2 linked regions of the Cricetulus griseus genome follow. The protein of the gene in region 2 interacts with the protein of the main gene of each other region in a pairwise test. Links are inferred from orthologs where the notes say so. Each region holds a gene or a part of one and is shown on either strand. Other genes may lie near its edges.

The links.
Region 1: the proteins of Ubqln1 (region 2) and Fzd7 interact in binary tests that used the Homo sapiens proteins (3 or more experiments, as listed by UniProt). The two-hybrid records come from large-scale screens. The link is inferred for Cricetulus griseus from reciprocal best matches to the Homo sapiens genes UBQLN1 and FZD7.

What each region holds. Positions count from the first base shown.
Region 1 is NC_048595.1:413,755,493-413,759,609, forward strand, and holds the start of Fzd7 (frizzled-7), read left to right. Parts: upstream 1-1,317; 5' UTR 1,318-2,187; coding exon 2,188-3,906; 3' UTR 3,907-4,117. UniProt on the Homo sapiens protein: Receptor for Wnt proteins.
Region 2 is NC_048596.1:277,235,694-277,239,815, forward strand, and holds the start of Ubqln1 (ubiquilin-1), read right to left. Parts: upstream 2,801-4,122; coding exon 2,645-2,800; intron 1-2,644. Other genes in the region: translation initiation factor IF-2-like, read left to right, coding at 2,799-3,047, 3,091-3,828. UniProt on the Homo sapiens protein: Plays an important role in the regulation of different protein degradation mechanisms and pathways including ubiquitin-proteasome system (UPS), autophagy and endoplasmic reticulum-associated protein degradation (ERAD) pathway.

The DNA.
Region 1 (4,117 bases), on a different chromosome or scaffold from region 2:
GCAATGACTCCTGCCAACATTCAACATTCAAACTGATCAAAAATCTCTCATATACCGGCAACCAACTGAGACAGGTAGAAAGTAGGACTCAGCCAGGAATGACGTTTTTTTGAAAGTAAGACTTCAGGGACGACAGAGAGATTCAACTTGTCACTTCCCTGCCCGGGAATTCATAATATTCATGATATTCCTTGCTGGCCCCTCTGAGAGAGCAGAGGTCCCTTAGTAACTTCCGACCGGTCCGGGACAGGCAGACAAGGCGCACGAGCGCCCAGTGCCTGGAGCAGGGTTAAGATTTGACCGAGGACAAAAGAACGCTTGCCAATCAGAAAAACGCTATCCCAGAAGGAAAATAACCCCTCTTTGTGTCTCAAAAGCCCTTTAATTAGCAAATGCCCTGGTTTCTAACGCGCTTTAAAACTTTTCTATGTAGATTCCAAATGCAAAGATCAAATGGTTGCTTCTGCAACGAAAACGGGACCCCCGAAGGCCACACAGGGCAACCGAAGGCGCTCAGTAAATCGTACGGAGAGTCCCGGGTACTCGGTCTCAGGTTGCTTTCATAAGCATTCCCCCAGCACTGCCTTAGCGTCCTCCAACCCCACCCCCAACCTCTCGGGCTCCCTACGCTCCCCACAGTGCGCGCGGGCGGGGTGGCTGGCTCTTGAGTCCCGCGCACCCCCAGCTCTGGGCCCTCTCCTCCGAGGGTCTGCACTTCCTCCCGCCACAAGTCCCCACCTCGGCCGACTCGGGTTTCTCCTTCCAGGAGGCCCCCTTCTTTGTAACTGGGGGGAGGGAGAGGGGATTGTGGTTTCATGTGGTCGTTTGGGTATGGGGAGAAAAGAGCGATCTTCAGTCGCAGCCCCTTCCCGACCCACACTGATGCTAACCAAAAGCCTCCCGCCCAAGCCAGCCAGGCTAACGTGACTCTGGGTCACGTCTCTCCGCCCAAGCGCTGCGCTATTCTCAGCGTCTCGCCGAAGCCTTTGGCGAATGCGCCCTTCTGCTCAGGAATGTGTGTTTTAGGGTATCCGGAAGAGGAACCAATCTTTCAAACAAATTCCCTTTCTGGTGCGTTCTTCTCCCCTGAGCAAATTCTGGGTAAAAGTTTCTCCTAACTTTTCTCTCCCAGTCCCCCGCCCCTCCCCTCAGGAATCCGCCCAGAGCGCTTCAGGCACCGCCTTCCTCGTTCCCTCGGCCGCCCCTTCCGACTTCCACCCAATCGGAAGGCGTCTACAGAGAAAACAAAGCGCGCTATTGGGCCTCCGGAGGGCTCGGGGCCCGCCCCCGGAGTGGTTTGTGAATGGGGGGAGGGGAGGGGGCGGGGCGGCCCGAAACCCTGCGAGCCCGACGCTTCTTCTAGCCACCAGCGCGGCTCCCAGGCGTTACTCTGCGCTCCTTCCCTGGCGGGCGGCGGCGGACGCGGGGACTCGCCGGCCGGGACTGAGCCGGCAGGAGAGGCCGAGAGCAGACAGGCCGCGGGTGCAGGAGCCTCGGCGCTTGGGATTCCGCGCAACTGGGTTTCCAAAAAGAACTCGCCCAGCTCTTAGCTCCTGGGGACCGATCGGACTCAAATTGAGAACCAGACGTTTGACTGAAACTTGGGGCCGACCTTCCCCGGGCTGAAGGAGGCTCGAGGTTCGGAGGAGGAGGAGGAGGAGGCGGCGGCCCGCGGGGCCTCGAGGCGAGAAGGCGGAGCTGCACCGCCGAGGCGGCGGCCGGGGCGAGCAGGCGGGGACGCGGGGCTCTGGTCTGGCGGAGGCCCTACCCGGTGTGGGGACGTGGGCATCGCCGTGCGCCCGGGGCTCGAGAGACTTGGGCAAACTTTGAAAGGTAACCGGAGACGCTTGGAGCCCGTCGCCCAAGAGAAAGCCGCACCGTTACGTCTCGGCGGGGAGGGTAAGGCGACACCCCACCCCCGATCCCCCAGCCCAGGCCCAGGAGTTTGAGCCCCCGGCGGCCGCGTGAGTGCCACGCGGAGGCGGCTGCGGCGCCCCCTCGACTGGCGGCCTCGCCCCCGCCGTGCAGGCACCTAGCGCCCTCGGCTCCGCGCCGCCCACGGCCCGGCCCCGGCGCCGGGAGGACTCTCATGCGCCGGGCGCGGCGGCGCCTCCCTGCATCCAAGCCGCTCCCCAGCGCCTCGTCTTTTTCCCCCAGCTGAGAACGCCACTGCACTCGCGGCCCGCGATGCGGGGCCCCGGCACTGCGGCGTCGCACTCGCCCCTGGGCCTGTGCGCCCTGCTGCTGGCGCTTCTGGGCGCGCTGCCTGCGGGCACCCGGGCTCAGCCGTACCACGGCGAGAAGGGCATCTCGGTACCGGACCACGGCTTCTGCCAGCCCATCTCCATCCCGTTGTGCACGGATATCGCCTACAACCAGACCATCTTGCCCAACCTGCTGGGCCACACGAACCAAGAGGACGCCGGCCTCGAGGTGCACCAGTTCTACCCGCTGGTGAAGGTGCAGTGTTCTCCCGAGCTGCGCTTCTTTTTATGCTCCATGTACGCGCCCGTATGCACGGTGCTCGACCAAGCCATTCCTCCGTGCCGCTCCCTGTGCGAGCGCGCCCGCCAAGGCTGCGAGGCTCTCATGAACAAGTTCGGCTTCCAGTGGCCTGAGCGGCTGCGTTGCGAGAACTTCCCGGTGCACGGCGCCGGCGAGATCTGCGTGGGCCAGAACACGTCTGACGGCTCCGGGGGCGCGGGCGGCAGTCCCACCGCCTACCCTACTGCTCCCTACCTGCCAGACCCGCCTTTCACTGCCATGCCCCCCTCAGATGGCAGAGGCCGGTGGTCTTTCCCCTTCTCGTGCCCGCGCCAGCTCAAAGTGCCCCCCTACCTGGGCTACCGCTTCCTAGGTGAGCGCGATTGCGGTGCCCCGTGTGAGCCCGGCCGTGCTAACGGCCTTATGTACTTTAAAGAGGAGGAGAGGCGTTTCGCCCGCCTCTGGGTGGGTGTGTGGTCGGTGCTGTGCTGCGCCTCGACGCTCTTCACGGTGCTCACCTACCTAGTGGACATGCGGCGCTTCAGCTACCCAGAGCGACCCATCATCTTCCTCTCGGGCTGCTACTTCATGGTGGCCGTGGCGCACGTGGCGGGCTTCCTGCTGGAGGACCGTGCCGTGTGCGTGGAGCGCTTCTCGGACGATGGCTACCGCACGGTGGCGCAGGGCACCAAGAAGGAGGGCTGCACCATCCTCTTCATGGTGCTTTACTTCTTCGGCATGGCCAGCTCCATCTGGTGGGTCATTCTGTCCCTCACTTGGTTCCTGGCAGCTGGCATGAAGTGGGGCCACGAGGCCATCGAGGCTAACTCGCAGTACTTTCATCTGGCCGCATGGGCTGTGCCGGCAGTCAAGACAATCACCATCTTGGCCATGGGCCAGGTGGACGGGGACCTTCTCAGTGGAGTGTGCTACGTGGGCCTGTCTAGTGTGGATGCGCTGCGGGGCTTCGTGCTTGCGCCCCTCTTCGTCTACCTCTTCATCGGTACGTCCTTCCTCCTGGCCGGCTTTGTGTCTCTCTTCCGCATTCGCACCATCATGAAGCACGACGGCACCAAGACCGAGAAACTGGAGAAGCTCATGGTGCGCATCGGCGTCTTCAGCGTGCTCTACACGGTGCCGGCCACCATCGTGCTGGCCTGCTACTTTTACGAGCAGGCCTTCCGCGAGCACTGGGAGCGCACCTGGCTCCTACAGACCTGCAAGAGCTACGCTGTGCCCTGCCCTCCGGGTCACTTCCCGCCCATGAGCCCCGACTTCACAGTCTTCATGATCAAGTACCTGATGACCATGATCGTGGGCATCACTACCGGCTTCTGGATCTGGTCTGGCAAGACCCTGCAGTCATGGCGTCGTTTCTACCACAGACTCAGCCACAGCAGCAAGGGGGAGACTGCGGTATGAGCCCCGGTCCTTCTCCCAACCTTGCCACTTCTCCCTCCTTGTAGGAGGAGAGGCATGGTAGGGAAAGAACTGCTGGGTGGGGACTTGTTTCTGTAGGCTACCCCCTCCTCCACTGAGCTTTAACATGGAAGTGAGAAGTTAATTGGAGGTGAGAAGAGATTTGGGGTTAGAGGTGGTTTTGAGAGAGGGCCTGAGTGAAAAGTCAAAAGGC
Region 2 (4,122 bases):
TAGTAAATATCAAACCTACTAAATTCTATAAGAAAAATTAAGTTACAAAATGGTAGACCTTGTCTTGTGCTACAAATAGTTTTATATTTTTTTTGTACATGTTTCTAAGTCTGCTCCCCTGACTCACTCAGCAGTTTGATGTGTTTTCCGTTTGTGGTACAGGGGTAAGCTTTCAACTTTCATCACATTTTCTGTTTCCACAGAAAACAGAGAAAGCTTTAAACATTAAGCAATATCAGAGTAAGTTACTTTAGGAAGGTTTTACTTTTACCCATTAAATCATTTTTAGTTACAGCATAGTGAAATATAAACTTCTACGGAATTTAAAACTTTAGTGTCACTCTTTAAAAAAAAATCTTACAAATCTTCACATAAATAATTTTTTCATTTATTATATTTCTAAAGTCCTGAAATAAAATGGGGAAGCTGTCAGGATGGAAATTTAAGCTGGGAATCTTAGACTCAAGAGCTTCATGATTTATTATCGCTACACATTCATTAAACAGCTACAATAAAAAATAAAAACAAACAAACAAAAAAACCTTGTACATAGCAAATATTAGCAAGGATACAGAACAAGAGAAATACACACCCATATGCTGTTGGTTGTGTCTTATAAAACTAAACAGAACTGGCCAGATGAGGTGGCGCAAGCCCTCAATCCATCCCAGCACTTGTGAGATCCAAGTCAGCCTGGTCTACAAAGCAAGTTCCAGGACAGCTGGGGCTACATAATGAAACACTGTCTCAAAATAAAACAAACAAAATAGCAGGGCATGCTGGCACAGGCCTTTAATCCCAGCACTAGGGAGGCAGAGGCAAGTGGATCTCTGAGCTGGACTATAGAGTTCCAGGACACCCAAGGCTGTTTCACAGAGAAACTCTTGTCTTGAAAAACCAAAACAGCACCACAACAAAACTCAAAAAGTAAACAGAAGCATTCTAATGCAGATAAAGGCATATATTGTCAAAATGATTTATATGCGACTGTTCACAGCAACTACAATTGAGAAAGACCCTGGACAGTAGATTGTGGCATATGCATGCTATGGAAAACCACAGAGCAGTTAGGTACTGAGCTGGGGACATGGGTCAGTGGTAGAGTGGAGCCTGTGCCTAGTATGCAAACATCTGGGGTGGGAGGGGTACAAACATTCACAAGGATGAATCTCAAAAATATGCTGAAGAGGGAAAGAAAAAAAGTCTTTCCCAAAAGATTTCATTATATACAACTCTGCGTATGTGAACTTCTGGACAGGCAAAATCAATCTCTGGTGGGGGAAAAAAAAATCCCCACGGGGGTGACAAAGAGTGACTTCTTTAAAGAGAAGGTGAGACAAAAGCTTTCAAGTCAGCTCTAACAGGCCACACCTAGTTGTGTGCTTGGCTGGCACAGGTGTAGATGGGTTTGTGAAAACTGGCTAAGGCACCCACGTGCACATCAAATTTATGTGGAATAAATTTCCACAACAGTGGTTTTCAAGTTAACTAACACGCACACGGCTTACGTGCCTTGTAAGGTGATACCGATATCGGTATTTACACCTTAAAAATGTATTTTAGAAATAAGGGACGCATAACACAGCAAGTGCAGGAAAATGTCAATCGTGGGTGAGGCACACACATGCTGGAAAACACAAAGACGTTCAACCTTTTACAGCAGCGTTAACAAGGAATGGTGATTCAGTCAACAGTAGTTCCCTCAGCTGATGCCACACACCCTCCTGTTTCACAAAAAAAAAACAAAAACAAAAAAAAAAAAAAAAAACGACTTCACCTTTGGAACTAGATAAACGTTCAGAGAACCTAAAGGCACATTCCAGTGCCTGTTAATTGCGTCCTCGCACAAAACCGTCCACGATGTTGAGACTGTCAACAATCCGAGTGCTCTAGAACGTGCTAAACAGATAAATCTGCTAACTTTTACCAGGGGCTCTTAATTAGCTGCAAAATTTGCTTTCCCTGAACGGGATTTAAAGCGATTATTTGTTTAGTAAGACTCCCCGTTAACACCAATTCTGTTTTCTTGCGTCCGGCGGCAACCACCTAACACCCCGGCAGGTAGGTATGGCTCTCGTCCCCCTGGAGTCGAACAATAACCTGCCCCGTGACGGGCGGGCGAGCCGGCGAGCGGGCGAGCGGCTGGGCGATGACGAAGGTTATTGAGACAGAAACAGCGAGTCGTCCGTGAATCAAAGTCTTTGACTTTTCTCCCTCGGGCGTGAGCTTATCACCAGGCTGACTGAAAGCGATCTCCACGTCACAATTTTAAATATATATGTATATATATAATAGCGTATATATAATAAAAGGCTGAAAGGTGTGGGGGGGACACACAACACAGAACGCAGCCTGCACGTGCTCCTCACCCCCAAATCTCTGCGATTCGCCGGCAGGTGAAACAATGACCCCCACCGGGCCCCGCCCGCCTCACCTCACCGCCCCGCCGCCCCGCCAGCCGGGCCACAGAGGCCGAGCGAGCGCCGCCCGCGCCCTGCCCGCCCGCTCCTTTGTCAGGAGCCGAGGCCCGGAGCTCGGCGGCCGCCGCTCGCCCTCCCCCGGCCCCGCAGAGCCCCGCAGAGCCCCGCAGGGCCGGGCCCGGCCGCCCTCCCCGCCCCGGCGCCCCGGCGCCCCGGGGCCTCACCTGCTGGACCGAGCTGTCCTCGGGCACAGCGAACTCCTCCTTCTCCTTGGGCGTCTTCACCGTGACCTTCATGATCTTGGGCTCCGCGGGGCCGCCGTCGGCCGCGGCTGCGTCCTGCGCGCCCGGGGGGCCGCCGCTCTCGGCGCTCTCGGCCATGGCGGTGACTCAGGCGACCGGGACCCTGCGGGCTGCGGCCGGCTCGGCGCGGCGCGGCGGAGCGGAGCGGGCACGGGCTGCGGCGGGGCCGCCGAGGGCGCGCGGGCACGGGCTGCGGTGCGGTGCGGTGCGGTGCGGGCCCGGGCGGGCGATCGATGGCTCGGCTGCCGTCTCCGCGTCGCCGCGCCGCCGCCGCCGCCGCCGCTTCCTCCTCCCGCACCTCCCCCACGTCCGTCGCCGGCGCCGCGCAGGGCACGCTGGGTAACGCGCTGGCCGCCGCGCCGACTCAGGGGCGCGGGGCACGCCGGGAAGCCGAGTCCTCGCCCGCCTCACGCCTGCCGCCGCCGCGCGCCGCCGCCGGGCTGACGAGGGGCGCGGGCTCCTCCGGCTCCAAGGCAGCCGCGGCGGCGGCAGGGGGAAGGGGACAGCGAGTTAACTCGGTTCGCTTCATCGCCCCCGCTGCGTCGGGAGCCGCTCCCCGGGGTCTCTGCGGGGCGCCGCCGCGGCGCCCTGAAATGACGTCACGGCCGGCGGCGAACTTGCTGGAAGCGGCCTGGCCCGCTGGGCCTGCGCTCCCGGTGTCCCCCGACCCGGCCCCGGTGGCCGGCGGCCCGCGCGGGCACTTGGTTCTGAGGAGCGCAGCGTGTGCCCGGGCGGAAGGGGCTGGGGCCGCCCGCCCGGCTCTGGGCCCCGCTGGAGCTGCGCCACCGCGGGCGGGCGCGGAGACGGGAACGGACGCGGGGCAGCGCCAGCGCCAGCGCCAGCGCGGGGCCCACAGCCCGCAGGCGTGGGTGCAGGGAGGCCGCGGCCCCGTCCCCGGAGCCAGGCCGGACACACGGCCGCCCTGCTCCGCCTTCCACGCTGTGCGCGGCAGACGCGGGTGCCCAGGGCGGGCCGCTCCACGGGTGGGCTGCAGCCTGGGGCTCGTGTGCGCCTCCAGGACGCGGTCCAAAGTTACTGCGCCCCCCCCCCCCCAGGCCCGAGGTGCCCTCCGGGGTAACCCCAGTGGAGAACGTAGGTCCAGTTAAGTTATTTCCGTTTCAGCCGTGACCCCCACGCCATCCATAACTTGCGATACATTGTGGCACTTGGCACACTAGCTGGTGCTGCACCAAGGTGAGCGCTGACAGAGCACCGTGACCCAAATACGCAAAGACATCCCATATTTTTGCTCTTAGGCCATCGAACCCTTTTCCGTGATTAACTGCTGTTGCATAAACACGTCTTAGCAGAGCCCTTTGAAATCTGGGTCAGAGTTGCGGCGGCGGTGTAAATTGCAAGACGAGGTATCGGTGGATATCACTTAGTGCCTGCCAGCATTG